2 linked regions of the Mytilus edulis genome follow. The protein of the gene in region 2 interacts with the protein of the main gene of each other region in a biochemical or structural test. Links are inferred from orthologs where the notes say so. Each region holds a gene or a part of one and is shown on either strand. Other genes may lie near its edges.

Region 1 (16,515 bases), about 36 Mb from region 2:
TATACATGTAGATACCTTATATTATAAAGTTTCTGTCTGTCACATGTCCATTGACCTCGACCTCATTTCATGGATCAGTGAACAAGGTTTAGTTTCGGTGGTCAAGTCTTAGATGCTATAAGCAATAGGTCTAGTATATTTGTTGTATGTAAGGATTGTAAGGTGTACATTTCCATCTGGCAGGTGTCATCTGACCTTGACTTCATTTTCATGGTTCAGTGGTCAAAGTTACGTTTTTTTGGTTTTGGTCTTTATTTCTAATACTATATGCAAAAGGTCAACTATTTTTGTTGTATGGAAGGAATTTAAGCTGTCTATGTCTGTCTGGCAGGTATCATCTGACCTTGACTTCATTTTGGTGGTTTATTGGTCAATGTTAAGTTTTCATGGTTAAGTTTGTTTCTGCAATACTATAAGCAGTTTGTCAACTATATTTGATGCATAGATTGATTCAATGATTATAAGGTGTACATGTTTGCCTGGGATTGTTAATCTGACCATGACCTCATTTTTATGGTTCATTGGTCAAGGTTAAGTTTGTTTCTGCAATACTATAAGCAGTATGTAAACTATATTTAATGCAGATTGATTCAATGATTATAAGGTGTAAAATTGAGAATGGAAATGGGGAATGTGTCAAAGAGACAACAACCCGACCAAATAAAAAACAACAGCAGAGGGTCACCAACAGGTCTTCAATGTAGCGAGAAATTCCCGCACCCGGAGGCGTCCCTCAGCTGGCCCCTAAACAAATATATACTAGTCCAGTGATAATGAACGCCATACTAATTTCCAAATTGTACACAAGAAACTAAAATTAAAATAATACAAGACTAACAAAGGCCAGAGGCTCCTGACTTGGGACAGGCGCAAAAATGCGGCGGGGTTAAACATGTTTGTGAGATCTCAACCCTCCCCCTATACCTCTAACCAATGTAGTAAAGTAAACGCATAACAATACGCACATTAAAATTCAGTTCAAGAGAAATCCGAGTCTGATGTCAGAAGATGTAACCAAAGAAAATAAACAAAATGACAATAATACATAAATAACAACAGACTACTAGCAGTTAACTGACATGCCAGCTCCAGACTTCAATTAAACTGACTGAAAGATTATGATTTCATCATATGAACATCAGGCACAATCCTACCCGTTAGGTGTACATGTTTGCCTGGGATTGTTAATCTGACCATGATCTCATTTTCATGGTTCATTGGTCAACGTTAAGCTTTCATGGTTAAGTGCTACAAGCAATATATTTAGTGTATTGAATGATTGTAAGGTGTACATGTATTTCTTGTTTGGTTTATATGACCTTGACCTAACTTCTTGGATCATGTTAAGTTATGTGATACTGTGGATTCATTATTATTCGTCGGATACCAATATTTGTAATTTTCGTGGATACAGGTGAAACACGAATTAAAATGTTTAATGAATTACACTTTTCTATAGGCTTTGTGTGGAGATATTGGCAAAACCACGAAATTAAATACCCACGAAAATTGAAATCCACGAAACTAAGTGAATCCACAGTAGTTGTTGTAAAGCTTTATATTTAGGACTATTAACATAGTATTAATGGTTAGTAAAGAAGGCGAGACATTTCAGCATGGGCACTCTTATGGTAGGGCCTAGAGCAAAAGGTAAATAGAATGATTGTAAGGGGTATATTTCTGTCTTGCAGTGTCATGTGACCTTGACCTCATTGTTCATTGATCAATGTTTAGTTTTTGAGGTTTTAGGCAATTTCTCAGGTATTCAAGCAACAGCTCATATATTTGGTATATGGAATGATTGTATGGTGTCCGGCAGGGCTCAACTGACCTTGGCCTCATTATCAATATTTAGTTGAGATAAGAACCTTTCCTCCGATACTATAAGCAATGGGTTAATTATGTTTGATGTATGGAATGATTGTAACACATACATATAAAGTAGAAGATGTGGTATGATTGCAAATGAGACTACCCTCCACAAGAGACCATATGATGTAGACAATAGGACTAAACAATAGTCAAAATACATACAGCATAGAAAGCCCCAAAATGACAAATGTAAAACCCAATCAAACAAGAAAACCAACGGCCTGATTAATAAACAAAACAATAGTCCTCCCTAATCTTGGACGGTGATTTAATAGTAAAATATAAGCAGTTATAACAAGAATGTGTGCCTAGTACACGGATACCCCATCCACACTATCATTTTCTATTTTGAGTGGACCTTGAAAATGGGGTAAAAACTCTAAATTTGGCATTAAAATTAGAAAGATCATATAGGGAACATGTTTACTAAGTTTCAAGTTGATCCGACTTCATCAAAAACTACCTTTATCAAAAGCTTTAACCTGAAGCGGGACAGATGAATTAACGGAGGGACATACCGGAAAACATAATGCCCAGAAATGGGACACAAAAAGAGGCAAAAGGTACAAAAGGAACACTCAAACTCCAATTATCTGAAAAAGGAAACATGGCGGAGGAATTTAATTACATAAAGTAGATAAAACAAAGCTTTTATTTATCTAATAAATTACAACTACCGGTACATATAATCTCATCACCATTTTGTACTGGTAATTACAATGTCAACAATGTGGCAGAACTCAGATCAAGTTATTCAAACTAATAATTTTATTATTATTTGCAGTCCTCTTTCTGAACTAATTTAATTAATTACAGTTTACTATGACATTCCCCTTGATTTAAAGTTGGATGCATCTGCTTTTAAATTTACATGATTAATTTGGGATAATTGGCTTTAAAATAACTACAAATGACATTACATGCACTTAAACAAGAGAACTTTTGTCTGGTTACATAGTGAGGCCAGTACAAAGTTCCATATATATATTTTTTGATCAATTAAAAGTCATATTTTGCACCAAATATTAAAAAAAAAAGGTAACAACTACTAAAGGAAAGCGTTACACCTATGTTAACAACAAAAATATTGCAAACTAAACAAATAAAATACTTTGGATATTTTTTATGTACGACATCATCACAAACTACATTTAATTAGTAAATCAAAGTTAATGAATATCATATAAACGCTTTAATATTGAAATACCATTTGGTTTTGACAGCGTTAAGGTTTTGACTCTGCTAGTGATTGAAACACTCAAACAAATAGAATAGAATTTGTGGAGCTTCCTCTTTAGCAGATAAAATGTTTAGTATTAAAAATTCTAAATTGGTGCATTACCATGTAACTATCAATTTGATTTCAAGTTTTAAACAATAAAACTTGGACAAACTAATATTCAATTCACATAAAAAGTTACAATGTCAAAGAAAGAAAAATAACCAACCAAACTTGCACATTCATGAATGTAATCTAACATGTTTATCTGGTGAAATTCTTGTGTACTGTATACATTTCAATAAAATATATGATAAGGGTGTGAATACATAAACACATGGCTATATAAATAAATGTTCAAATAGCAACCAAAATTCAACCAGCCAGGTTAATTCACCACTGAACTGTTTCTTCTAAAATAAAACCAGCCATGAAGCAGGTTTTGAGTTGATGAGTGAGGCACTGAGAAGCTGGTTTTCATTTATTTGGCCTTAAGGTAGATTCATGGTATACCGCCATCTTGGATTGAACAATCACAGTAAAAAATCGGTCTAGTTATTTGCCTAAATCTGCAAATTTGAAGACAGATTTGCAATTTAATGGTTAGACTGTTTAATAATATAAAGAAAACTTGGCAATTTATTGTATAATCCAAAATATTTAAACAAATATAATTTTTCTTGTTTTTAGAATCATTTTTTTCATACGAGCCATTTAAGGGAAGATAACTCTTTTAGTAAAAAATTTATACTGGACAGATAGGGAATTTTTTTCTTTTTACTTGTAGCAAGAAAACAAGTTCGGTGACACCATTTTTTCTTTTTATTTTCTTAAAACATATTACAAAACCTATCTTTTCACAATTTTTTTCAAAATTCTATCTCATAGATTTTTTTTATGCACACAAATGTGTTTTCCCATGAACAATCTAACCAAATTTAGGCAATTTTTAACGACTCATAGCTTGAAAAATAGCACGGTGACCCCTCCTTTTTATTATATATTTGAAAAGAGCATATTAAAATCTTCATTCTGGCTAAGTATAAGAAAATTCTGTCTCAAAAAATATTTACTTATGATCTACCTTAAAACAATAAGAATAAAATAAATGGCAACACAGTTAACATCTTTGGGATGCTTCCTCCCACCATCAAAACTTGCCATCCCTTCTAAAACAAAATACTGCAGATTGTAGAAGAATTGTATTTTTCATTATTTAATTTTGTGGCTTTGTCAAATCCTGCATGCAAGTCTATTTAATGGTGTATTTCATTGAACATTCAAATCATTGGTTCACCTTAACCCACAAAATAGTTATTCCATGAATAATAATTATATATAGTAATGCAATAGTTACAACAATAACTTCATAACTGTGTTGTATAAATAAGATATGCTTATTTTGTTGTAAATGTGGCTTCATTGTTGTATAAAAATTAATAAATTATTTGATGAAAATGAACAATTAGTAAATATATTTTGAAAGCTATGTGCATAAACAAATAGATCTGACAGCTACATTACATATTCAAGACAACTGTTTTAGAAATAATAGGATGCAATAAGCTGCATCATTTTATAAAAAAGCTCAAAATTTGACTGTATGTGTTATTTCAATGATTTACAAAGTTTAGCTAAATGTAACCAGCCCTTTTTGCATTCATATTTGAAAAAAACTTTTGATGATTACAAAACAAAATCATAACAATACAATTGACTTGACCTATAGTCTTTCTTGCAGGCCTGATGTTTTTCAGGTAAATATATAGTGTTTTAGTGTTTTTTTCCTAAAATCATGAAAAATATTATTTTTTATATTATAAACTCATTTGTTCCTCAGTTATTGAATTATTATCAACATAGTCAAAAATGTGTATTTTTGATTTAAAATTTTTAATTCAGAATATTCGTATTTGATAATACACAATAAATGTCCTTGGTTGATTAACAAAGATACATTAAATGCTAACCAATAAAACACTTGGAAGATGATTAAAGGTTCCACATTTATAAGATGATAATAGTTTTACATTTTTATCGTACTGATACAACATTCACAAGAATTGATCACACCACTCTTTTAAGCATTGAAAGCAGTCATTCTGTTGTTTTGAAGTGGCTCCAGTCAAATCTTTCAACCAATCTTTAAACATATCTTCATCTTTTTTCAGCACTAAAAACTGTCCTAAGACAACATAGGCCTGAAAAAAAGATATACACAAAGCATTAAGAAAAAACGTTTGTTTAGGGAGGGTTTCCTAATTTCTAAAAAAATTATCGGTAGGTAGAAATTTTTATATATGGAAGTTTTTAACGACCTTGACTGGCTATACAGCCCTCGCACGGTCGGTTTTAGAATTTTTTATCTTATTTTACTCATTTATATAATCAAGTACAAGTGTATCGGGTCAACCTGCAATTTTGTCATGATTCACTATAAACCAATGAAAACTTTAGACTAGGTTTTTAAATTTTGCATTACATCATTACTATGAAAATCATCACTTCAATCTTTTAACAGACAGATCTATGTATCAATATGTATATTTAGGCAACTTTCACAAGCATAAGACAAACGCGAATATAATTTGTTGCTAAAAGTTAACTCTTGGATCTTTCCTGAGAAAAATGTACCTAACTACATCAAGTAAATTTGAAAATCGTGAAATTAAACCAGAAAGGGCTAAATGCAAAATAAAGCATTTGTGAAAATAAGTTGGTTTACAGTATAGTAAAGATAGTTATCGTTCTTGTTTTAAAGTTCTTGTAAAAAACAAAAATGGTAGTTGACAACGGTTGGACAGACAGACAACGGTATACCATAAAACGTCACGTAAACAGGTGTTTAAAAACTCTTTGTTTCAACACCTGCCCAACTGTAATTTTGTCAGCATCTTCTTGTATATTTTTGTGTTATTTATCAAAAGTGATAAAACTTACACAATCAAAACCTGCTTCTGTCAGTCTACCACCATAAACTGGTCCAATCCCTGCGAGCTCTGTTACAGGTTTGTCACCCATTGGCTCCATTACAAAATTTCTGTGTTTTTGAGAAGTTGAAGACATTTTACTACAAAGATAAGAAATTTTCATATAACTAGTTAAACATACTGGTTGATTCTGTGAATGATCAAGTGGTCTCAGGGACAGGACCTAACATTTCAACAGACTTTCCATTTGAAAATGTTTCTTCAAATAGTTGGTACATGTATAAAATAAATGAATCTGGAATCAAAATATTCTTGAAATATATATCTCATTTGATGAATTGAAAATAATTTCTATTGCATATAAACCTTTCTCTTTTTACTAGTTTATAATCTGTCCAGTGATTGATGGACAGGCAATCATTATAAAACAAGGTAAATTTCATACATGTGTAACTTTACAGTTCAATATGAAATATTAAAGGTTGACCATGTTGACCACAGAAGCAAAGTTTGAACTAAAAACCAAAAATTTACCAGACATATTTTTCGTGAGACCAGGACTCATAGACTCACCTTAGTGGGAACCTGACTGAAATCATCTATTGCAGTAAAATTGTCAAAATACTCATGCATCCTACAAATGTACCATGCCCAATGAATACAGAATCATTGTGGGGCTAAATCCTAATGGACATCATTTCATATAGATAAGATATATGGAACAGACACCATGCATGGCAGTCTTCACACTGAACTGCTAAATCTACAGGCTCCCAGCACAATTTTAGAAAATTTTTAGTTAGATTCTGTTGGCCTGTAGGTCTGATTTTTACAGGCCCGAGAGCAATTTTACCAGCCTGAGCTGCCTGGGCTGCCACTCCGCGTGAAGACTAGCATGGATACACATTAATGACAGCTAAAGAATAAGACAATTATGACTCTCACAAGTTACTTTTAATACATATATATTAACTTTCACTTTCTATTTATAATGATAGTGTCACCATAACAACAATATATATGTACTTTCACTTTCTATTTATAATGATAGTGTCACAATAACAACAATATATGTACTTTACTGTCTACTTTTGATAGAATAAACCATAGAATAGTGGTATCATGTTCACCATAAGTGTGGGAGATCGTTGGTTATATTAAAGAATTGCTATATTTTGGTTCCTACATTTTATTGTTTCATTGTTTCAGATCAAAGGGACCAAGCTGATAAAAATAATTATCTTTTGTGTTTTCATTTAAAATCTTCAATGTTTTCATCGTACCAAGCTATAAATACATTCAGTATTTGCAACAAAGCAATTTAAAAAACCCAATCATGATTTTCCAATTATTCAACTGGAATTTGAATTAAAATTGGGCGCGAACGTGTAGAGTGCGAACGGACCTTGGGTGCGAACGTGCGAGGTGCCAACGTGTAGGGTGCGAAAGTGTATTGGGCGCGAACAGACCTGATACCGTTGGTTTGAAACCCAGCCGGGTCAAACCAAAGACTAAAAATCACCAAATAGCAAATAAATGATGAACAAATTGCAATCAAATCAATAACTAGATTAATATTGTATTTTCTATTCACATTAATCATTAACATATGGATAAAACACGTCACATGGATTTTATAATTAACAAATCCAGAACTTTAAATCAAACAACTTATACCTGACACAACTAATAAGTTACTGGTAATGTGGAATTTGATGGGTGAAGCTCAATGAAGCTCTGATGTTTGCCCAACAAATTAGGGAAAACGAAAGTGGACTATAAACCTTGTGGCGGAATGCATTTATTGTCATTTTATTTGCAGTTGTCATTACTTTAATCGCCTGATTGATGCTTCCTTCATATATAAGATTATGAACGTACTCACTTGTGTTGGGATTTTTCCGATTTAAAGATAAATAATGTACTGTTTCGTCGAGTTTCGTTTTCAGGAAATTGGCGCTTTCACAAGTAGTCAATGTATAAAAGCAGCTTGAATCAGTTTCAATTTTTCAGCTATACTTAAACATTAAAAAGATTCTGACTTTTTCTTTTGATCTAGATCTGTCCTCCTCACATAGGAGAACCGTAAAATAAATATTTTTTTAAAGCATTTAACATGTTCTAGGTAATTTGAATATTTGTACTTTCTTGTTTTAAGGTTGCAATAATTGACCTTTCGGTAGGGGGTCAAGTGTTTTGTCTGAGTCCGGAATTTTTTTTTGCGCCACTAATATTAACATATTTTTTTTAGCTTTTAGACACTAACAATCAAAATCTAACACTGTCACCGTACACCACAGAGAAAATATGAATTTAGAGCATCTGCTTGATCACAATATTTTTTTTCATCAAATTGGGACTGAGACTACTATATATAACAATAGTAGTCTCATCTTGGGGATAGAATATTTCTAAGGAAAAAACCAACATTAAAATGTTAAATGGTTCTGCTCCCTTAAATAATTTTTTTAAAAAGGGATTAAGTGAAATTAATAACCTGTTTCCACTGAAGCTAAATAAGGAAAAACATATGCTAAACATTGAGATTATAAAAATATAGATTCTAATTATTCCTGATATAATTTTTAAGATGGAAAGTGAAAAAAAATAGTTTGTGTCCATGGAAAATCAACCAGGGAAAAAAAAAAAATTTTAATTTTGTATTATAATATTATTTCCTCGTTCCTGTTTGATATTGTGAAAATTTTGCTACAATTCAAGCCATTCTTTTAAGGGGGGTCCCAGAGAAAAAAAAAGGGGGGGTGGGGGGGGGTAGGCACTTGTCTTAGAAAATAAAATTAGGTATATAGGATTTATTTTTTCTGAGACAAGACTTAGTGCCTGTATGCGTGTTTGTTTGTGGAAAGGGGGGGGGGGCAAATATATGTCCCATTTTAATGCATAGATCATATAAAACTAGATGTGTCAAAGCGACACGAATGGCCCTGTCTCAAAAAGTTGAAAAATCTGCAATTTCAATAACACATGTGGACACAAACATGATGGTAGTCTCTCATATATAAAAAAATCAGATCAAAATCTGGAGGTGTATAGAAAAAAAGTCTGTATAACTATGATTTTCAAAGTTGTAAACCCTTAATTTTGACAAAATTAGAGGAGCGGAACGAAACTTAAACTTAATCTGTAACTCATCATGGTTAGCTCACATATCAAAAATCATCCCAATATCTGAAAACCTTTAGAATAAAAGTCAGACTGTGATTTTTAACAATTTATCAAAGTCCAAATGCAGTAATTACAGCAAAAATTAGCTTTGTTGCTTTTTTTTTTCTCACATCAGGAATTAATATGGAAAAGTATTCTTGTACCTACAAAACCACAAATTATCAATAAATTCTCTTAAATTCTTAGTACAAAACATTTTCCTCAAAAGTTGTGTATATCAGATATATTTTGATTGTTTGTATGCAAATCTGGTTGTTGGTTTACAATTTTGAACGCTTTAACATTTTGTCATGAGGGGCCATTTGTTTTCCTCAGAGTTCAGTATTCTCATGACATTACTTTTTGTTTGCTATGTGGTATTGTTTTTGCTCTTTATTGAAGGCAACACAGTGACCTTCAGATGCTAACATCTACTGTATTTCGACTATGATGGATAGCTGTTTCTCTGGCAATCATACCACATCTATTTTTTATCACATCTTTTTTCATTAAAAATGCACAAAAGACTATATCATTATTATTTTTTTTTTGGGGTGAGTTTAATATGTACCCAAGAACCAGAAAAAATATTTAAAAGGTTAACAGGAATTTGCAAAATATTGGACTGTGCAATAGACCATCTTAATCAACAACACCTAACTTCTCTGAAATGGTTGAGATAGCCTGACATTTTTGCATGTACAAAATGTGATGGGTTTGAACCAATTTTTCTTATATACTGGTTTTAACTTATCAAGACCATGTGTTCTAAAAGTAAAATACACAACAAACAAGAATATGTGTCTATAGGACACTTTGCTATGCAGTGGCAGATCCATAACTTTTCACAATTGGGGGCTGAATGACTGCCTGAGAGGGGGCTTGCTCCGGTCATGCTGCAATGATTCCCTATATAATCAACCATTTTTTCCACAGAAAAAAGGGGGCAGGACACCCCCCCCCCCCCCTCTTAATCCACCTCTGCCATGATCCCACCATCACAAGTTCACTGGTACATGATATCCAGGTATATATATTCTATGTCTATTGGTGATATTAAGAAAATACCATAATAGGTCAAACATTTAGAACAAATGGACAAACAGTGTGTGGATTAATCAAAGTGCTTGTAAGCAATGAAAGGTAAAGATTGCTTTAGTTCAGTGGGAGGTTAAATTAAACATTTCATTGTGTAAAGCATTAGATGTAGTTGATTCAACTACAATTACGGACAAAGAAAGATAACTCCAAACCAAAGATTACTTTAACAATGATATCATTGATATTTTTAGAACAGATATTAGGTTAATGCTTATTGCAAAAGTTGTAATTTTCTTCACTTAGTAACTTGAATATCTTAGCAAATATTTCATTCATAAATTTCTGGATAGGATGTTAAGAATGTTATTGATCAATTCACTATATTTTGTTCATCTCAGAAGTAGTTTTAAACCATGAAAGATTTAGGTATCAATTCAGTAGAATCAGTACCGTAGGGACTGATTTCATTTCATGCAATCTTAACCCAAAATTGAGGTTTGTTTTGGCAAAGTGATAATAAATAAAAATATGACTGTATGGAAGATAAAATTTATTAGTTCTAGAGACTTTCGTCATATGTTAACATTATGTATGTGTATCACAGCATTTAGACACCTTTCTATAAATACTATATCTAAATCATTGTAGCAATAGCTCGTATGGTCCACATTTTAATATAAACAGTACCTAATTTTTTTATCACATAAAAGGTATCATTAAAATTTTACATTATTAATGAACTTATAACAGGCAGTAAAGGCCAGACAAACCCTGCCAAACAGACAAGCAATTAATCCATAATAACTGAAAAATATTGTGTGTAAAAACTTTACAGTTTTCTTTAGCAGTCACTGAACGCTGAAGACAAAGTTTATACAATATTATATGCCAGATGGAAACATTCATCCATAAAGATGTATACTTTGTTAACAGCTTTAAAGCAATATATCTGTCAAGCATAAAAAAAAAAGAAGTTTTGAACTAAGTTAATATACGTTTATCTTGAACTATTGTTACAAGAAAAAAAAAGTTTTTTAAAGAAAAAAAAAGATATGTGATAAATTCTGCTTCATTCATTGCATATGAGACAATGCATATTTATATAGGACCATAAGAGTTATTCTACAGAACTAATAATAACAAAGTCTTCCTCTATCTCAATCTGTGAGGTGATAATATATTTTTGAATTTACAAATCAACTTCTTTATAATTACAGAGATATAATAAAATGTAAGTGTTTATGAGAAAATGTGGTTTGAGTGCCCATGAGACAAGTTTCCTGACCTAGCCTAAGTGCTTATCCTAACAAGTTTTACTGACTCTGTGGGACCAAACAAAACAGGAAGAAGCATAGACATATATAAAGATTACAAAAAAAAATGTAAATGGAAGTACACTTGATTTCAAAATTCAAATTAAATGCACTCTGGATAGTATTATCAAAATTTACAACAAAACCTTCAGTAAGCAGTTTCATAAATACAAAGGGAAGTAATCAAAATGTATGATCACAAATACAAAGGGAAGTAATCAAAATGTATGATTGCAAAAACTGAGTACGACATCTGTTCACCAGACAGCAAAGGACATGGATAAAAGCAAATATAGGTCACCATACATCCTTCAAGCAATGCTTTTTTTCCAGATTCTTTAGAAACAGAATGAAATTAATCTATGTTACTTTGAAGCCAATAGAAAATTTATAAAGTTGATTGACAAACAAGAGGCTCTCAAGAGCCTGAATCGCTCACCTGAATTTTTTTGGTTTAATCTCTCATCAATGATTATTTGGCTTTTCAATTTATTTAAATGTTCTTTGAATCGTCCTATTTTCTTCAAAAGCAAAAAAAAATCATTTTCTCCTATGTTCTATTTTAGCCATAGGAGCTATGTTTCTTGACATACAAGGAAATGAAATATAAAATTTATACTAGATACTCTGAAACTCTGAAACTCATTTAGCCTAAGTTTGGCTGAAATTGATACAGCAGTTTCATAAGAGAAGATTTTTTAAAGTAAGTCAACATGATGAACAAATTGTGAAAAAAGTCTTTAAAGGGCAATAACTCCTAAAGAGGTCAATTGACAATTTTGGTCAAATTGACTTATTTGTAGATCTTACTTTGCTGATCATATTTGCTGTTTACAGTTTATCTTTATCTATAATAATATTCAAGATAATGACCAAAAACTGCAAAATTTCCTTAAAATTACCAATTAAGTGGCAGCAACCCAACAATTGGATGTTTGATTCATCTGAAAATTTCAGGGCTGATAGATATTGACCTAATGAACATTTTTAGCCTGTCAGATTTGCTCTTAATGCTTTCGTTTTTGAGATATAAGCCAAAAACTGCATTTGACCCCTATGTTCTATTTTAAGTAACGGCGGCCATGTTTTTTGACGGATCAAAAATTAAAGCACACACTTTGTGCAGGATAATCTAAGGAACAACCATGCTAAGTTTTAACCAAATCCATTCAGTAGTTTCAGAGGAGAAGATTTTTTAAAGTTGGCAAATATGATGAACAAATTGTGAAAAATTGTCATTAAAGGACAATAACCCCTTAAGGGGTCAATTGACAATTTTGGTCATATTAACTTATTTGTAGATCTTACTTTGCTGTTTACAGTTTATCTTTATCTATAATAATATTCAAGATAATGACCAAAAACTGCAAAATTTCCTTAAAATTACCAATTAAGTGGCAGCAACCCAACAATTGGATGTTTGTTTCATCTGAAAATTTCAAGGCTGATAAATATTGACCTAATGAACATTTTTACTCCATGTCAGATTTGCTCTTAATGCTTTCGTTTTTGAGATATAAGCCAAAAACTGCATTTGACCCCTATGTTCTATTTTAAGTAACGGCGGCCATGTTTTTTGACGGATCAAAAATCAAAGCACACACTTTGTGCAGGATAATCTAAGGAACAACCATGCTAAGTTTTAACCAAATCCATTCAGTAGTTTCAGAGGAGAAGATTTTTTAAAGTTAGCAAATATGATGAACAAATTGTGAAAAATTGTCATTAAAGGACAATAACCCCTTAAGGGGTCAATTGACAATTTTGGTCATATTAACTTATTTGTAGATCTTACTTTGCTGATCTTTTTTGCTGTTTACAGTTTATCTTTATCTATAATAATATTCAAGATAATGACCAAAAACTGCAAAATTTCCTTAAAATTATCAATTAAGTGGCAGCAACCCAACAATGGTTTGTTTGATTCATCTGAAAATTTCAGGGCTGATAGATCTTGACCTAATGAACATTTTTATCCCATGTCAGATTTGCTCTAAATGCTTTCGTTTTTGAGATATAAGCCAAAAACTGCATTTGACCCCTATGTTCTATTTTAAGTAACGGCGGCCATCTTTTTTGACGGATCAAAAATCGAAGCGCACATTTTGTGCAGGATATACTAAGGAACAATCATGTTAAGTTTCATTCAAATCCATTCAGTAGTTTCAGAGGAGAAGATGTTTGAAAAATTGTTAACGACGACAGACGACGACGACGACGGACGCCAAGTGATGAGAAAAGCTCACATGGCCTTTTAGGCCAGGTGAGCTAAAAACATGCAAGTGATTTGAACAGTAATGTTCCTCAATATTGGTATGAAAATTTGTCCACTGAAAAATTGCGTAGTTTAATAGCATCAGATCTTTTTTTCTTGTCTTCCAGGTAAAGAATGCAAATAAGACAAGATTAAAGAAGTTCTAAAAGCCATTATAATAATCTTTACTTGATATGTAAATATTTATTGCACTCTCCTGATTTTGTTTTTTTTAGGAATGTTTAGAGGAATTTTTAACAAAATTAATTAAATGATATGATATATGAATTGAAAAGGGCCAATAAAATCTATATAAATAATTTTACATGAAGTTTTGTAAGAAAGACATCAAAAGTTATTGGAACAGAACAACACCAAGATGTATCTAAAATTTACAATGGTTATCTACTACAAATGTATTAACAAAAAGTTATATAACAAAAACAAAGGGAGGTCATCCCATAAAACATTTAAAAAGCGAATTGATTTGCGTTTAACTATAACAAATACAATATTTACAATATACAAGTACAAATTACATGTAAAGCGCTCCTATAACAAGAAAGACAATCAATTCTATAACATAGATTATAGGTTAGTCTTGATTATACTTACAAACCAAATAACATAAGCTCTATATACACAATTTGATCAACTAAATGATCAACTAAGGAATAAAGTAACTGGTATATCCTACATGACTCAACAAACAGATCTCTAAACTTAATGTTGCTTAAAAAAATACAAACTATTATTGAGACAAATAATGAATATGTTGCATTTGAGATCACAATGGGAAAAGTTCACATATAAATATTTTTTTTATATAAGAATGTCTCTTTATTATTGCCAAAATAATTCTAAGAGATTCACTTTGAACTAACCTCCATCAGCGTGAAGAAGAAAAACGTGTGCAGGATTTCAGTCTGGAGACAGTATGTAAAGGTTAAAAATAACAACTAATAATTCAGCACCTAATATAAACATTCATCATTCATTGAGCACCTATAAAAAGATCTTGCAAGACAGAACTAGTCAACTAAGGCAGAACTAGTCAGCTGAGGCAGAACTAGTCAGCTAAGACAGAACTAGTTATCTAAGGCAGAACTACACAGTTAAACTGGACCTTCTAAAGATAATATATCGGGTTGCCATTTATAATCATGCTGCTTATTTTAAAACTCAATATCATATCTTAACATTGAATATTATAAGGAAAATGAAAAATAATTTTACAGGAAAGTCTTTTGATTAGAACTTCACATTTCCTTTTTAAAACCGGTATATTTTAATGCATCAGAATTAAAGAACCAAATAGAGATTTTTATAAGGGAGATAACTTATTAAAAAAATTGTTCAAAGTAGATATTTTTGTGATTTCTAGAATCTAGAAATTAGGAACGTTTATCTTAATTCTTCTATTTCTTTTTTGATACTGTCCTAAAAAATATGACATAAATTTCTTTTATTAATTTCTTATGTGAAAATAGAATTACTAACCACACTTTTAATAAAAATATGAATTATGAAGTCATCCAAGATCACTCATTGTATGTACATAGGCATTCAGTTAAAATTAAGAATATTTAATTAAGGAATGACTGTAATATTTTTTCTGTCTATGAAGAAATAACATAAACAAGAGGCTCTCAAGAGCCTGAATCGCTCACCTTAATTTTTTTGGTTAAATCTCTCATTAATGATTATTTTTGCTTTTCAATTTATTTAAATGTTCTTTGAATCGTCCTATTTTCTTCAAAAGCAAAAAAAAAAAATCATTTTCTCCTATGTTCTATTTTAGCCATAGGAGCTATGTATCTGACATACAAGGAAATGAAATATAAAATTTATACTAGATACTCTGAAACTCATTTAGCCTAAGTTTGGCTGAAATTGATACAGCAGTTTCAATTAAGGAGAAGATTTTTTAAAGTAAGTCAACATGATGAACAAATTGTGAAAAAAGTCTTTAAAGGGCAATAACTCCTGAAGGGGTCAATTGACAATTTTGGTCAAATTGACTTATTTGTAGATCTTACTTTGCTTAACATTTTTGCTATTAACAGTTTATCTGTATCTTTAATAATATTCAAGATAATAACCAAAAACTGCAAAATTTCTTTAAAATCATCAATTCAGGGGCATTATACCTGAAAAAACAGTTACCCAATTCGGCTGAAAATTTCAGGACAGGTAGACCTTGACCTAATAAATACTTTAACTTCTTGTCTTATTTGCTCTAAATGCTGGAGTTTTTGAGATAAATAACTGATATAAGCCAAAAACTGCATTTTACCCTGTGTTCTATTTTTAGCCATGACGGCCATGTTTTTTGACGAAATAAAAAATAAAGCACAAACTTTATTTTATACACCCTACTGATCGATCATTCAGTTGCAGTTTGGTTGAATTTGGTTTAGTAGTTTTAGAGGAGAAGATTTTTTTAAAGTTAGCAAATATGATGAACAAATTGTGAAAAATTGTCATTAAAGGACAATAACCCCTTAAGGGGTCAATTGACAATTTTGGTCATATTAACTTATTTGTAGATCTTACTTTGCTGATCATTTTTGCTGTTTACAGTTTATCTTTATCTATAATAATATTCAAGATAATGATCAAAAACTGCAAAATTTCCTTAAAATTACCAATTAAGTGGCAGCAACCCAACAATGGTTTGTTTGATTCATCTGAAAATTTCAGGGCTGATAGATCTTGACC
Region 2 (16,500 bases):
ACAAGCACAGTGGCTACATGGATGTAGTCTCTTGTTCCATTACAAAAATATCTTGAATGAATAACTTTAATAAAAATAAGGTATTATTCTCAACTTTTTTAGCCTCAGTATGATTTTGAATTGATATTTTTACAGGCACCTGTCTTTTGTTGGAGACCATTGGTTGAACTCTAAATTATGGGGTTTTTTTGTATTTGATTTGCTGTTGTATATCTTCTTATTCCTGCTAACTGATTATTTTTGTGTATTTGATATGCTGTTTCATATCTTCTTATTCCTGCTAACTGATGATATAATACAATGATCTCCAGATTATGATTTTTTTGTATTTGGTTTGCTGTCACATAACTTTGAATTCCTTTTATTCCTGCTGACTGATGATTTAATACAGTGTAAATATGTAATGTGAAGAATAAAATTCAATTGCAGAACTACTTGTAGTGCCTAGATAATTGAGTTTTAGCTTCCCTGTTAATTGATACTGACCTACTCCTTTATGAGCATCTGTACTTGTGAATTCTACTGTGCCATCATGGCATCGTTTAGGATCCTCTTTATATTCTTTATGAACACCATCACAGTAAAATTTGTAAGCTAATCCAAAATCAACTAGATATACCTGGTAAAAATATGTTTGAAAATTGAAACACCAACAAATCATTTGTCTAAAATATAATTTCTTCCTATCCTGCTACATTTATTCTGATTGAAAAACCCTAAAGTAAAATATATCTTTGCTGACAGCAACTTTTCAAAATAGGATACGTTTTATTCAAATTATCAGCAAACTTTTGATTTTTTGCATTTGTTAAATTAAATTTTTCAAAACCATATTTTAATTCTCAAAATAGTAAATTGAACTATACAATAATTGACAGAATTTAGTATATTCTATATTTACCTGGTTTGGTTGTTCTTTTCCATGACTGAAGCCAGTCAGTAAATTAGAAGCTTTAATGTCAGCATGGGCATAACCTTTATTATGTAAGTATTCTAATGTATCTAGCTGAAATAAGAAAGACACAAAAAATCAATCATATTTCTGCATGTAAAATGTTAGAGCAATAACACATGGACAAAACCAAACAAGCAAAAAACAAGAATGTGCCCCTAGAACACAGATTAATATTCCAAATGTGTCTCTTCAAATTACTCAATTCTGACATGCTTTCATCCATGTCATATTTATAAATAATACATTTATAGATTGTGTTCAAATTTCCTATCATATATATTACACTGGTTTCAATTGCACATACATAAAAGTCTTTACCATTTCTAGATAAGTTCGTAAAATGGTGTCCAAATTATATGTTTTGTCTTCTATCTAAAAACTTATTAAATATTCATTCTTTGATGATAATTATAGATTATCGTTGATCATCTCAACAAGATTGATTTTCTCGCTTGAGCTGGTACAGCGAAAGTGAGAAAAGCAATAGAGTTGAGATGACCAATGATAATCTGTTTATCGCTATTTTACCTATGACGACGTTGTCAATTCCATGTCAATTTCGTTAGCAACGCTACATGGCCTCCTTAGTTTCTAGCGATAATTTTTCCATCTCAAGCGAGAAACATGATATGAAAATTATCACAAAAAAAGATCAAAAGAAAAATGCACAAAATAGCGATAAATACGATTATTAAATAAAAAATAGTTACCAATCTTAGAGCCAATGCACACACAGTGTGCCTGGAAAATGTTTTACCACTCTTTTCAAATACTTTTTGTACATCTGTACCAAATCTTTCCATCACCATAAATCTAAATGTCTCTTTCCCTCGTGTATGCGTTCCACTGCTGATATACTTTGGTACTCCTAGGTATTTCATCTTTTTTGCTTTGCACCATTCATCAACTGAAATATTATCAAATTTACTTGTTAATCTATTAGCTAAATAATTAAAATCTTTGCACCATTCTATAAAGGTTAAAGTATTATAGTATTTGATGATGATTCAGTTTATTTAGATATTATAAATTAAAATACTGAACAATAATAAGTAAATGGTAGCTTTGGTCATGGTTAAAATTACCAAACAGCTAGGAAATAAATCCAATTTCTGCAGAATTGCTGTTTTCTTTCACATTTGGTTATAAAATTTCTTTTCTTTTTTGCTGTGTTTAAATATCTAAAATTGTCTGTTCACAACCCCTTCTGCAGTATATCTATATTTTTGATTATAAGGTTGATTGGCCATTTTATATTTTGTTCTTTACATGTACTCACCCATTTCTGGTTTAGCTACTCTCTGATACACATGGAGTTCACAGAACAATGGTCCATCCTCACCCATTTCTGGTTTAGCTACTCTCTGATACACATGGAGTTCACAGAACAATGGTCCATACTCACCCATTTCTGGTTTAGCTACTCTCTGATACACATGGAGTTCACAGAACAATGGTCCATACTCACCCATTTCTGGTTTAGCTACTCTCTGATACACATGGAGTTCACAGAACAATGGTCCATACTCACCCATTTCTGGTTTAGCTACTCTCTGATACACATGGAGTTCACAGAACAATGGTCCATTAGCTATGGGTTCCTGAAATACCAAATTATGTTGACATACATGGCTAAATCTATGATGGCTATTAAGAATTTTTCCTATTTAACAGTTATTTGAGATTTTATTGCAATTCATCCAAATACTTTGTCTGCAGGTAACAGTTTTTTAATGTACAAAACTGTTCAAGGTACAAAATGTACTGTCAAAAGGATATCAAATGAAAAAGAAAAGCATTCTCAATATGCTGTACACATGTTTAAGCAAATGTTCATTTTATCTGTAACTTCTGATCAAACAACAGCACTCCAAAACTAGGCAATCTTCATGGAATCCATCACAGAAGCTGCGACTCAATGTAAACAAGTGAATTGTGATACAAATTAGAAGTTTTCAGGGTTATTCCGTTTGAACATAGCTTACACTAACATAAGGCAGAAATATTTCTCATAAAACAATTATTCATATTGAAAATGCCAAAGAGTTGTTATTAAGTTAGAAAGCAGAAATTATATAGTACACATATGTATGCACAATTACCTTGTTAGTTTCAAAAAAATAAATATAAAAGTTACAAATCATAAAACACTGTAGCTAGCCCTCTCTGTATTTAAAATATAATGTTTTTCTTCTAAATCATTTGTAAATCAGAACTTACAATTTTAACAACATAAGTTTCATCTTTTGTACCATCTACAAGGGTAGCTAAAAGAATAAAAAAAAACATTTGAAAATTTATTCCATTATGAGAATAAACATCATGTATAGCAATGAACAGACACTCAACGCATTTAAAAAAAAAGTTAACACACAAATCTCTGTTTGTAAAGATACAGAATCTAGGTTTTAGCTTTAAACTATTACCAGATCAGATAGCTTTGATAACACTTTTCTTTTAAACAGTTGAAGTCCTTTTTATTGCAACATTTGATAAATAACAGGATTTTTTTTTAAGGGTGAGTGATTCCATAAAACTGATTATATATATATTTGAATTTATATTTTAAAATCATATCAATCGTCAAATTGTCAAAAACATGTATATAATTTTTTGAGCGATTTTTGAGCCTCCTAAATGTATATACCTGTATGTACTGTTCATAAAAATAATAAATTGCATCAATAGTCATTTAATTAATTTAATAGTTTCATGCAGCATTTGTCTCCTGTCTTGTTAATCTGAAAATATCTTCTCTTTTGTAAGTTCCTACTTTTCTATATGGGATCCAACACATTTCAATCTAATTAAAAACCAATCTCTCATTGCTCCCTTTTTCTGATATGTCGCTTGGGAGATCTAACGAAACCCACTTTGAGGTCACATGTGAGTGACCTTGTAGGTGTGTCTTTTTCGACTAATGAAAATGAGTCTTCGACGATCTTGAAAGTTTAACGTAAGGTAAAGGGATGTAACTCATTTTATTTACAAAGAAATCTTCAGTCCAAAAAATTCATAAACTTTTTTGATTGGCTTATTGATAGGTCGTCAACTCATTTGCATATCATTATAAATTCATAATTTCTAGTTCACTCACATGTGACCTCAAAGCGGGTTTCGTTAGATCTCCTACGCGACATATCAGAAAACAGAAGCGATGAGAGATTGGTTTTTAATTAGATTGACAACATTTCTTCCTGTACAAATGCTGTACATAAACTGTGCTGCAATGTCTTATTTTAATGAAATCCATCATAATTACTATTGTAACTATTTTGTAATTAATTTCTTACAATTAATAAGAACCACTAAAATGACTCCTTTTAAATTATTGAAAGTAACTAATTTTCTCGCTGTATTGAAGACCCATTGGTGGCTTTCAGCTGTTTTCTGCTCTTTGATGGGTTGTTGTCTCTTTGACACATTTCCCATTTCCTTTTTCTATTTCAAGTAAACAATAACAGTGTTCTAGCTACAATGTTTGAACAGGGCGCAGCGCTAGCTCTTTTTTATTGACGCCCATGCCTTTTTTCTGTTGTTCCTTGGGTGCCCTGCTAATTTTATCACAGAAATATCGGCATTTTTCTGCCTTTAAAATACTGGTAAAATCGTAATTGTTCCATGAACATGAAGTTCAGCTACCTGTGCAAGCTGTCAAATTAAGTGACCCAATAAGTGTATGGCTTTACCTGACTGCTTTGGTGTCAAACACATTGTTAATTAACACCAATTACCTTAGATTTAGGTCATAAACATGATAAATAATTTGTGTGTATTTCAAAAAAGTTTGAAAAACAATTTGATTACTTCCCCTTATTTAACACCTGTTTAAAATATATTACTTAAATTTATGTTTCATTTCGTAAAAAGATTAAATCTAAAAAAAATTGAATGCAAATGAGCATTAGAATATTAATTTAAATTATTTTCACTTGAATACACTTCAAAAATAAATATTTTGAAAATTATATTTTGCATCTATACTTCCATTAACTGATTTATCAAGTGCAATGAAGAATTCCCAATGTTGAAAAATATGATTGGTCTTACTGCTGTGGTGACAGCAACTACAAGACAGCTTTAATAAAGATAAAAAAAAAACTACAAGACAGCTTAGCGTAAATGTAAGTTTTGTCAATTTCATGTTATCTGTAGCAAGATAATGTATCTTCAGAAGAAGGAATTTACTTAAAAATTTAAACAGTAATGTTGATCTTATTAGACTATTTAAATACACTGTAAAACATTATATAACTTACCTGTATGAATATTTGTGTGATGCAAGATGTATGAGAAATGTTTTTGAGAAACACTTTTTAAAGAATAATATTCTGGTACAAGAAACCGAAGGTGTCATAACATTTAATTTCTAATTATTGTGCTGATTATTATAATATATATGTGATTATACTAAGAACATTGCCTTGTGATATTTTTGTGTAATATGTAATATATCTGTTGTATATATATGTTGAAGAATTGAATAAAGATATAAAAAAAACTACAAGACAGCTTAATATACAGTGTTAGGCAATAGTTTCGAAGAGGGTTTCAGCATGATGACTATAGATTTATGAACTATAAGAAATGAACCAAAATAATTAAATTACACAACTCCATTTTAACTGAAACTTGATGTTTCAATAATGCATAATAAAAATTATGTGCTAATTAATTATGAGGCACAATTACGCTCTTTTCAATGATATATAAATTTACGTGTAAAATTGCCCTTTTTTTCAATGACATTCACGCCTAAAAATGACCTTTTTCTGTCTAGCACCCTGCCCTTTTCAAATTCTGGCTAGAACACTGAATAATGCCAATACATATTTATGAATTATACATGTACACAAAGTCTATGTCACTCTTATTTCATTGCTTTCTGTTATAATTGACAAAAATGCAATTAGGAATTTTGATACCTTCATTTATTTTGATCAAGATGATTCATTACAGAATCCCAACAAATAAAATTGAGCAAACAATAATATAAATTTTACCTAGATATATAAGTCCAAATCCTCCCTGGCCAATCACTTCTCCTAGGCGCCAATGTTTTTTCCCATAATCCTTCAGTAATTCCCCTTTTGGAAATGGGTCTGGTAATTTATGTGCTTTGGGAGCTCTGGTTTTCTTTTGAGCTATAAATAAAATCTTTGCTACACAAGACAAACTTATTTACATGTGGAGCTTGACATAAAATCATGCTTTGAATATACAAAGTTGACATGTTTTGTTAATGCAGACAAGTAACTGTTATAAACCAGGACATTTCATGATGATTATATATGTAAATGACTGTATTCTTATCTTGTCCACTTGAAATGTTGTCTATTAGTTTAAAACAGTATCAACATGATCAAAATAGAACATAAATGTTTTCAATTTAGAGTTATGACCCTTTCCTCCATAGATTTTTTTTTTACACACTGAATTTGCATAGGATTTTTTCAATCAAAAAAAATCATCAGGTATAAAGTATTGAAAACAAATATTTCATCAATGAAATTAAGTCAGATATTCTAATGAATATCCTTTTTATATTAGATACAAATTTTATTAAGTCTGATACACATTTTTTGTAAGCAAGTGTGAGTCGCAAGACGTTACAACTGATCGAGGAACTATACAGGCGTCATAATGGAGTAAAGGGGGTGGCACCAAAAAGCTTCATTAGGGTTAATGCATAATTTTGTAGTTGTACAGCAATTCCTTATAATTTTATATCTTACATCAAAATCTTAATCATATATAAAAGTTTGTAGTATATCAAAATATTCAATTATACATAAATGACATATATATTAAGTGCCTAGAAAATCAACCCTATGATGTTTAGGGTGGATTTAATTCTTTACTTCCTCCCTGAGCAGTGCTGGAACTTGCACTTTATTTCTCACTTTTACAACATATAAATATATGGGTAATGTTTTTTTTTTATTTATCAATGTGATTTTATTTTACTGCCCAATAACACTTACCAGAGCCTGCCTTTGCCTTGGGCGGCATTATCTGAAAGATAAAAAAAAATGTATTGAATTACATTTAAATTCATACTTATAAAATCATCTGAATGTTAAGTTTTTCATACAACCAGTGAACCAGAAATTCTAAAAGATCTTACAACCTTGTGATTGATCTGACATTAAATAATAAACCATGTATGTTAGCTATACATGCTATATGTTCTCAGCAAGAATGGAGAAAATAAACAGAAGAAAAGAAAAGTGATTGTTGTATAATCACCTCAATGGTTCAAGTGATGCAAATTAATGGATGAAGAGTGAATGGCAAATTTCCAAAATCAAATCAAGTATCTGTCAACAGGCTCTGATAGCCTATGCATGTTCAGTTCTTAATATGGTAAATATGAAACAAATTTAATAGACCACTTTCGACAAAAATGTTCAAGTTCATCCGTCACTGGAAAAAATTCGTCAATTATGCGCGCCTTTATGACGTCATTTACCAGATAGAGGGGGTCGCCTGTATCCCTGCACTATTAACATTCATCAAGCGTCTTAGTGATCGTCATTGTGCAGGATGAACTAGAAATAATTTTTGTTTTGTAGGTACTTCATTACAATTTCCTATTAATGACAGCAGTGTTGATTGTCAATTATTAGAATTTAATTTGCCAAATGATTCGTGTAATATAACATTATAGTTTCCCGGCCACTTGCTCAACATTGGAACGGTAGTGACCACGCCCCTAAACGCACGAATGATGTTCACTAAAACCAGAGTTTTTGACGGTGTTCACTAAAACCAGAGTTTTTGACGGAAATGCATCAAACTCGAAAGTTGTCTATAGATATGATACAAAAATCAGAGATACATTATAAGATATATCTAGGATATCATATTTTTACAATTTTCAGCATTGTCTGGGTGCCTCAATCGGCTGCCCACAAACCCTGTCTCGTCTACAACTGTTCCTGAGTAAATATAAATATGATTGAATAAGCTTTATTTAGAGTCGGCAAGGTATACAAACATAAGCTCTAATGAGCTTTTTACCGAGCTTTTGAGGCCTAGTTACCGTCCTATTTATACTCAGTTAACAGACGATATGAGTTCACAAACAGTTGAAGGATGTATGATGACTTGAAGTCTCTGGTAGATGATGATATAAACATGTATGTCAAGAAATAATTTAGTGGCAGTGCACAAATGAAGGGCTAAATATTTTCATTTCTTCAGTTTTTAAATTTGATTTCCAAATTGTATAAACATATATCAGCTCTTTCTTAAAAAGGCTAATAAATCACCTGATGTTTTTGATTGTTGAGAAACAAAATATTATGTTCTTAGTTTTCTGTAAAGCACTAAATTTCCAGCATTTCTGGTTCTCTTGTCCTCTCTTCGAACAGAAAGTAGAAATATCAAATATTCCGCCAAAGACAAAAATAAATCAGACTTTTTGATTGGCTAATGGAAATACAGCTGTCCAATCAATAAAAGTCTTACAAAAGTCAGTTGATTGATTGCGTGTAATGAAAATGGAGAATGTTTTCATAAAATTGAATTATTTATTTCGTCATTCTATCCAACAAAAAGAGTCGATAACATGACATAACACTGGAAAAATGTCAGAAATAGAAATTACAACAACTGCTAACTCAGAAAACAACAATGACAATACAGAAAAAGTGGAAGAAACAGAACCGTCACCTGTTGGTGATTCTAAATGTGATATGCAGGAAGTAAACAATGCATCTCGAGATGAATCGGAAGCTGATTTATCGAATACAAAAGAAATTAACACTTCAGAAAATCAAGATAAGAAAAGCCCATTGAAAAGAAATGTGAAATTTTTTGGTGATAAACCTGTGTCCGGTTATCTTGAACCTCCAGATCCTTGGAAAAATGGTGTGTATTGTTTGGAGTAAAAAGCACATTTTAGCATTTATCACATGTCTAATCTAGATAGATAATTACACGATAACTCCATACCAAAATACGGGCGTCAAAATAGTCTGTGTTGATTAGTCCGAGATTACTCTGACGTCCAACGGCTGTTTTGCCAGACAAGCTGGGGCCGTGGGACGTCAGAGCTCGTCCCATATCAAAAATTGGATATTTGCTTACCCAAAATAGTTACGCTGCTTCGTCGCTTCTGGTGCCGACTGACGGCCTTGGAATTATATAAATCGGGCATCAATCTGTTCAATTTTCATTTATCTTTTCATTTATGTAAGTTTCACCTACCTGCCAACCTTTATTTTTCCATATTTTAACAGTTTCCACAGAGACCCATCGATTTCTGCATTTTGCCTGGTACATGTATTAACATTTGATTTTTTTGTTTATGGAAAAATATTTGTGACATCACCTTGTTTCTTTGCCATGCCAAGACAATAACATCATTTCGCAGAATTTTTGTTTTATGAAATTTTACCATGAAAAATAAATTGAAATGGACTGATTTGTTTATTTTGCTGTAGAACAGAGGTAAATATATTGTATCTGAATCTTGCCCTTAGTAAACTGGCAATTTTTATGTTGAAAATTGAGAATATCTGGCAGTATAAATAAGTTGGTCATACTGCAGAACAGCCATTTTTGTATATTACTGCGTTTGCGCTAAAGATGTGATTATACTGGTTGACTATAACAGGTCGTCATATTAGAATCCTTATTTTTTCTATGGGACTGGATTGACTTGGGACCAGAACAACATATGCAGGATTTATTTCACTTTTGGAGCCGTAGCTACCTGATACTTGCAGGTTTGAAATCTAAAGTAGAAATAAGTACATGTATGTTGAGGATCAAATAGATATGTTTACCTGAAACCTACTTAGAATATTGTAAGCAAAATTGACACTCAGGTTATTGAACATAATTGAAAAAATTGATATGGTGTAAAGTACTTATGTAATTATATATATGTCATCTGATAAAGAATTATTTCTTTATAAATGGTCGATATTTTTTTTTTTCAGCACCAAGTTGGACTTCAGCAGATCTAATTAATTCATACAAAGAAAGCTGTAAAAAGCACAACACCAGGCCTATTCCCACTATACTTAATCAGTTACAGGTATACATAAGGAATTATTTGATTCTGCAATAATTTTGAATTCTGGAAACTTTATAAGAAATGTATAATGAAAACTATTTTAGCCATTGTGGGAATATCTATGAATAGTACTGTTAATTCCAAAATATTGAGATGTTGTTATTATTGCGAAAAGGATTATAATCACAATAAATAAAACTCAGATTTTAAATTTTTATATGAATGAAACAGGATATTTCTGAATATCTCAAAATTTAAAATCACATCATTGCTCTCCTCTTATATTTATGCGTTTCCGTCAGTTTTAGTTTGTTACCCCGATTTTGTTTTTTGTCCATGGATTTATGAGTTTAAACAGCGGTACACTACTGTTGCCTTTTTAGTCTAAAATTACAATATCTCAATAATAAATGCATGTAATAATTTCTGAATTTACAGTTAACTCTTTTTTTTTTAAAAAGAACTAACTCAATTTAATATTCATCAACTGAGATAGTCTGTGTATCTTATATTCTGTCATTATTTATTCAGGGAATAGAAAATGTTGGTGAACGCTATGCAATCCTGAGTTTGAAAGGTAAGTTATAAATTAAACAGCTACCTAAAGTGTATGTGCCTGTTCTTCCTACAACACATTTCTCACATAAGTTTGATCTAAATATTTTTGACAAGGTTAAAATTTTGTAAAATCTGCACGTTTCATTTCAGGCAGATATACAGGGATACCTCTGTTTCAGAATGACCTTTAAAAAAATGAAAGAATCAATTAAGTTATATTACAGAGATTACATACATGTAATTATAAAGGACTGGCCTTAAATTTATCTGATACTTCATAAAATAGTGACATCAATTATATTTATTTCTGTTCACAGGTGAAAAACTTGACATGAAGAATGTGGAGACTTTGGAAGAAATATTTAAGTTTGTTCAATTTCAATGTGTTGATTTGGAGGGAACACATTTAGATGAGGAGGTATTTAAGTTTGAAAGTAGCTCTAATTAAATGACAATTCCTAAAATTGATTATAAACCTACATGTAGATAAAAATGAAATTTAGTCATCAAAACACCAAAACTGATAAGTCTGACTTCATAAAGTTTATCTACCCAATCAATCACACAGGTGCAAGTGAAGATTTGCTCACTGCATTGAAGACCTGTTGGTGACCTTCTGCTGTTGTCTGTTCTATGGTAGGGTTGTTGTCTCTTTGACACATTCCCCATTTCCATTCTCAATTTTATTTATCACACATTTTGTATCTTGAATAATATAAAAATACGAAGAAATACTGTTCTATACTTGATTTCTTTATTTTCTTACAGTAAAATTTAGTAGCAAATCTTTTAAATAGTTCTCCCCTCCAGTATTTTTAATAGATATAAGAAGATGTAGCATGGGTGCCATTGAGACAACTCACATCCAAGTCACAATTTGTAAAATTTGTAAAAGTAAACCATTATAGGTCAAAGTATGGTCTTCAACAGGAAGCCTTGGCTCTCACCAAAAAGCAAGATATGAAGGGCCCCAAAAATGACTAGTGTAAAACCATTCAAACAAGAAAACAGTCTAATCTATATAAGAAACGTGTGTTCATTTAGGTACTGATGGCAATTCATAGGTTTTAACCAATTCCTCTCTTTTACAAAGTTGCAAATAAAAATCCTCTCAGATTTTCCCCCCAATCCTATCTATTTAAATTACTACTTTTATGTATTGTTACTGGAATACTGGTATTAAAATTCCAAATGTGTATGGATTTTTATGCCCCACCTACGATAGTAGAGGGGCATTATGTTTTCTGGTCTGTGCGTCCGTTCGTTCGTTCGTTCGTCCGTCTGTCCCGCTTCAGGTTAAAGTTTTTGGTCGAGGTAGTTTTTGATGAAGTTGAAGTCCAATCGACTTCAAACTTGGTACACATGTTCCCTATGATATGATCTTTCTAATTTTAATGCCAAATTAGAGATTTTACCCCAATTTCACGGTCCACTGAACATAGAAAATGATAGTGCGAGTGGGGCATTCGTGTACTGAGGACACATTCTTGTTTTAAACTAAATACACAGTTATAAACTGTCAATCACTTCATTCATGAATTTTATTTTGCAGACTTCCGTAGCAATATTCGAGATGATAGAATATTATGAGAGTGCTTGTAAAGTGAATGTTTCCTTCAACAAAGGTATATCAATAAGAGGCTGGCAGTCCTGTGCCAAAATGGTCAGAAAGGTATTTATTGGTTTGTTTTATCATTTTATTAAGTACCCCATGCTGAGATGAAAAGAGGATATATATATATAGTTGGTGAACCTTGTCAGACATTCTTTATGCTGGTTTTTAGATGGTAAATCAAATTCTTGAATTTCATATAATATTGCAACCTTATATGCAGGGGTCGAATTTAAGCTTTTTTGTGTACTGGCAAGCTGGACCAGCTGACTGAAAACTCTACTGGTCCGGCTCCAAATCTACTGGTCCTGCAAAAATGACATAAATTTGACAAACACTAATATAAATGATAGATTTTTAATTTTATTTTGATGCTTTCCTCTACATAAGTTAGACAGGAACAAAGGGATAGTCTTGATTCTGATTTTGAAAAAGGCTTTGATAATCTCAATGATTTTCTTTATCAAAATCAGGATCAAGGACAGAAAAAGTATCAACATTGTCTTCCACGTCATCCTAATCCTCACGGCCACCATAGGGTGTCTAACTGGGTCGTCTAGAGCGCTGTCCAGAAATATTCCACATTTCAATAGCCAGGAATAATGAATCTGATAAGATCTGATAAATCAGTTGGATGCAATTTTAATCGCCAATCTTTCTTTACAAGTTTCATCTAAGAAAACCCCCTTTCTGCATCAGCAGAATGATCAGGAAGGGAAAGAATTTCGATCTCCCTTTTGATTTTCACTTATTTGAACTTTTTTGTCCAGTGGTTTAACTCCTTCCAAAAATTTCCACATTTTATATTGTTATGAAGGACACTCACCCAAGATAGTAATTAACTTGATCAATTGTAATACCCCCCCAGTACTGTGTAATTGTTTTCACAGGTAAATTGTTTTGTAAAGAAATGGAGATTGCGATGCAATCAGTGATTTTTATTGACAAATTTCTACTGGTCCGCCGGACAACCAACTGATAAAATCTATGGGTCCGACGCCCATTCTACTGGTCCTGGACCATCGGACCAGCGCTAATTTCGACCCCTGCTTATATGTGTATATTGTATAGAGAAGATGATCTTTATTCATTTTGAAATCATTATGTCCATGATTAATTTCGAAGTTACTGAAATAGACCAAAATTTGTACAAGAAAGTGGTCTATGGCCAATATCAAATACTTCATATAAAATTGAAACTGTACCTTCGATATATTGTCATATACGTTTTAACTATAATACCAACTGCTTGAACCGAAAAATTAATCTTATCACACCTTGTCAAGAACATTGAAAAAATGTAGCTTAAAGGAAACATGAGGAGTGGTTGTTTTTAGTCTGGTAAGTGATACAATAACTTATAATCTATATTATTGTTTCAATAATGAAGAAAATTTCAATATATGTGTTAATTCAATTAAACTTTTTATTGTAGACTCCTGCTTTAACATTCCTAGATGCCAGAAGCTGTGATATTAATGAAAGATCGTTACCTATTATGGGGAGAGCCCTCAGGATGGGTTGTTTCCTGAAAATACTCCATTTAGAAAATACTTATTTGTCTGGCCGATCTCTGGTCATACTTGGTAAGTTTAATCAATGAGCTGTAAAATTGAAAATGGAAATGGGAATGTTTCAAAGAGACAACAACTCGACCAAAGAGCAGAAAACAGTCAACGACCACCAACGGGTCTTCAACATAAAGAGAAAATCAAGAACCTGGAAGTGCTTCTGCTGGCCCTGAAACAAAAATGTGTACTATTTCAGTGAAAATGAACATCATATATACTAAACTCTGTAATATATAAATGAACTAAAATGAAAATCATGCAAGACTTACAAATGCCAGAGGCTCCTTACTTGGGACAGGTGCATTAATGCGGCTGAGTTTAACATGTTTGGAAGATCTCAACCCTTCCCTTTCTAGCTAATGTAGAAAAAGCAAACACACAGCAATATGCACAGTAAAACTCAGTTTAAAAGAAGTCGGAGAGCTATGGAAATTTCTATTGCATAAAGCTGTCAAAGTTTGCAAGCTGGTCAACATGGATTTCTATAATAGCTCAATGTATCATGTATCTCTATTATCTCTTTTGTTGTTATTTTTTCAGTTGCAGCTATAAAGATGAACGACATTCTTAAAGAACTGTTTCTAGCTGACAACAAGTTAATGCCTACAGATGGAATACAGATAGGGAGTCTACTAAAGTATAATCATGTACTAGAGTTACTGGATCTTAGAAATAATCCTTTACAGGTTAGTTTCATGGGAAAAAGTATAAAGAACAAAAAAAAATTATTGCATGCATTTGTTATTGGGATTTTGTCATTTTAGACTAGAATTTGATTTAATTTTTTGCGATATTGAGAGAAATTCTGTTCAATTCATAAAAAAAATATATTCAAAATGCAAGTTTTTATTGCGATTATTACCCTGTCGCATTATTTGCAATAAAAAAAAAAATTGCAATAATTTCTGAAATTACAGTATTTGGAACTCATATACTTATAGAGTCCTTAGAAATTGATAATACTGTGCTGTGACTCTTATAGAGATCTAAGAAAATGTATCATGATTTAAATATGCATTGCTTTTTCTAGAATGGAAATAACATTTACAAAACTGACCAATTAATCATTGTATATTTTTTTTCATTTCAGGACATAGGCATTACACATGTATCTGATGGTTTATATGAACAGAATTTAGACCAAGGTTTAAATACACTGGTTCTGTGGAATAATCAGCTTACCTATCAAGGCATGGCATCTATAGCTAAAGCTCTTGTAAGTAGACTTAATCATGCTAATTGAAATGGAACAAATTTTATAAGCTTGTCTCTTCAATATTAAAAAAAATATAATCTATTTTGTTATTGTGTCACATATTGATTGACATACATATTATACAATACATTAAAATGTATAGAACAATGAATATCCAGTTATATTATTTGGATTATGAGACACATTGCACAAAATATGTACAAATATAAAAATCCAAAGATAATTTGAAGAACTATATATTAAAACTAATAACTATGATTTAAAGAGTATTTTCAAAATGATGAATAAAACAGAAGAAAAAATATATAAATTATTTTTCATAAAAAATATTTACTTTACTTTTATCAAAAACTTCATACCTATGTGAAAATATTTACGTAAAGATATCTAGAAAAGTTATTTGAACTCCCATCCAACATTATAGGATTAAACACATTTTTTCTAGAGGTTATTGATGTGTAAACCGGGGCGATTAACTCACAAACTGAATAAAAGTCCGAAGAAGGACTTTTATGTTGAGTTTGTGAGTAAGAGCCCCGGTTTACACATCAATAACCTCTAGAAAAAATGTGTTTAATCCTTATAATTCTTCAGCCAAACATTTTTTTGTTGATGGCTACTATATATATTCACCATTAAAAGCACAATGGCAAGTCGTAACTAAGGAGTACGCCGCCATCTTGACTTTCTAAAAACCATAAATGTCCGATAAATACAACGGAATCTTAAATGAAACAGCACCTACCTCAAAAACTTCATTTTAATTAAATTTTTTCCGAATTTAAAGCGTACACGTAACGAAATAATCTTTACCTTGAAAATTTCCATTCGTATGACGTCGTGTTTTGCCATGACGTAAATTCGCCAAATCATTCATGAAATTTCGTGGAATTTTATTAAATTTAATTTTTGTACATTTTCGAAGCTTTAGTGCAATAAATTTATTTCTTTTTTTGTTATATATGCACTAGAATAGTCACAACTGTTATGCAATTGTTTTTAATCTCAATTTGCTGAAAATCCCGGGATCACTGCAAGCTTGTGTATCGCGCATGAATAGATTACAAAAGTAGTTTCGGAAACATGGTTTATCGAAGTGTAAACTTAGAGAAAAATTCTAATTGACTAATCCAATTCAAGTATTTACAGATATGCAAATCATATAAGAATTATATATTATTTAACTTGAGTGGCTAAAACAGTCATCACTTTATCACTGTAACCTTTTTCTTAAAAAAATCATAGAATGTTATGAATGAACTTTTTTAAATACTTTTATTGACTTGTTATTTCAGACCTCTACACAATGTCTAGAAACTTTAAACTTAGGACACAATAATATAACAAACGAAGGAATTCATCAAATGAAGGAGGGACTTCTACAGAACAAATCTTTATTACGTCTTGGTCTACAGGGAACTAAAGTCACTTGTGAAGGTTTGAATGAAAGAAATGATGATATTTTAGTACTTTTTCTGAGTTATTTGTGTGTTCACTTTCATTATCCTCAAAGGTTAAATTTTATATATTGAAATTCTTGATTGTGCTATTTCGTTGATA

Evidence for each region.
Region 1: of the proteins of serine/threonine-protein kinase VRK1-like (region 2) and barrier-to-autointegration factor-like, one has a biochemical effect on the other in vitro, tested with the Caenorhabditis elegans proteins (2 studies listed by BioGRID). The link is inferred for Mytilus edulis from reciprocal best matches to the Caenorhabditis elegans genes vrk-1 and baf-1.

What each region holds. Positions count from the first base shown.
Region 1 is NC_092346.1:5,256,962-5,273,476, reverse strand, and holds barrier-to-autointegration factor-like, read right to left. Parts: upstream 8,024-16,515; 5' UTR 7,907-8,023; intron 6,162-7,906; 5' UTR 6,158-6,161; coding exon 6,032-6,157; intron 5,293-6,031; coding exon 5,146-5,292; 3' UTR 4,176-5,145; intron 3,582-4,175; 3' UTR 2,506-3,581; downstream 1-2,505. UniProt on the Caenorhabditis elegans protein: DNA-binding protein which plays an essential role in nuclear envelope formation. Required for normal chromosome segregation during mitosis. Associates with the nuclear lamina via its interaction with LEM domain containing proteins emr-1 and lem-2.
Region 2 is NC_092346.1:41,393,999-41,410,498, forward strand, and holds the start of serine/threonine-protein kinase VRK1-like, read right to left. Parts: upstream 8,454-16,500; 5' UTR 8,230-8,453; intron 6,971-8,229; 5' UTR 6,968-6,970; coding exon 6,940-6,967; intron 6,100-6,939; coding exon 5,959-6,099; intron 3,223-5,958; coding exon 3,176-3,222; intron 2,557-3,175; coding exon 2,487-2,556; intron 2,318-2,486; exon of another isoform or gene 2,302-2,317; coding exon of another isoform or gene 2,235-2,301; intron 1,863-2,234; coding exon 1,666-1,862; intron 1,007-1,665; coding exon 902-1,006; intron 620-901; coding exon 487-619; intron 1-486. Other genes in the region: protein phosphatase 1 regulatory subunit 37-like, read left to right, coding at 8,548-8,830, 9,907-10,004, 10,515-10,560, 10,859-10,959, 12,094-12,213, 13,589-13,739, 14,265-14,410, 14,815-14,940 and 1 more. UniProt on the Caenorhabditis elegans protein: Serine/threonine kinase that phosphorylates baf-1, thus regulating the association of baf-1 with chromatin and nuclear membrane proteins during nuclear envelope formation. May act through the egl-17 signaling pathway.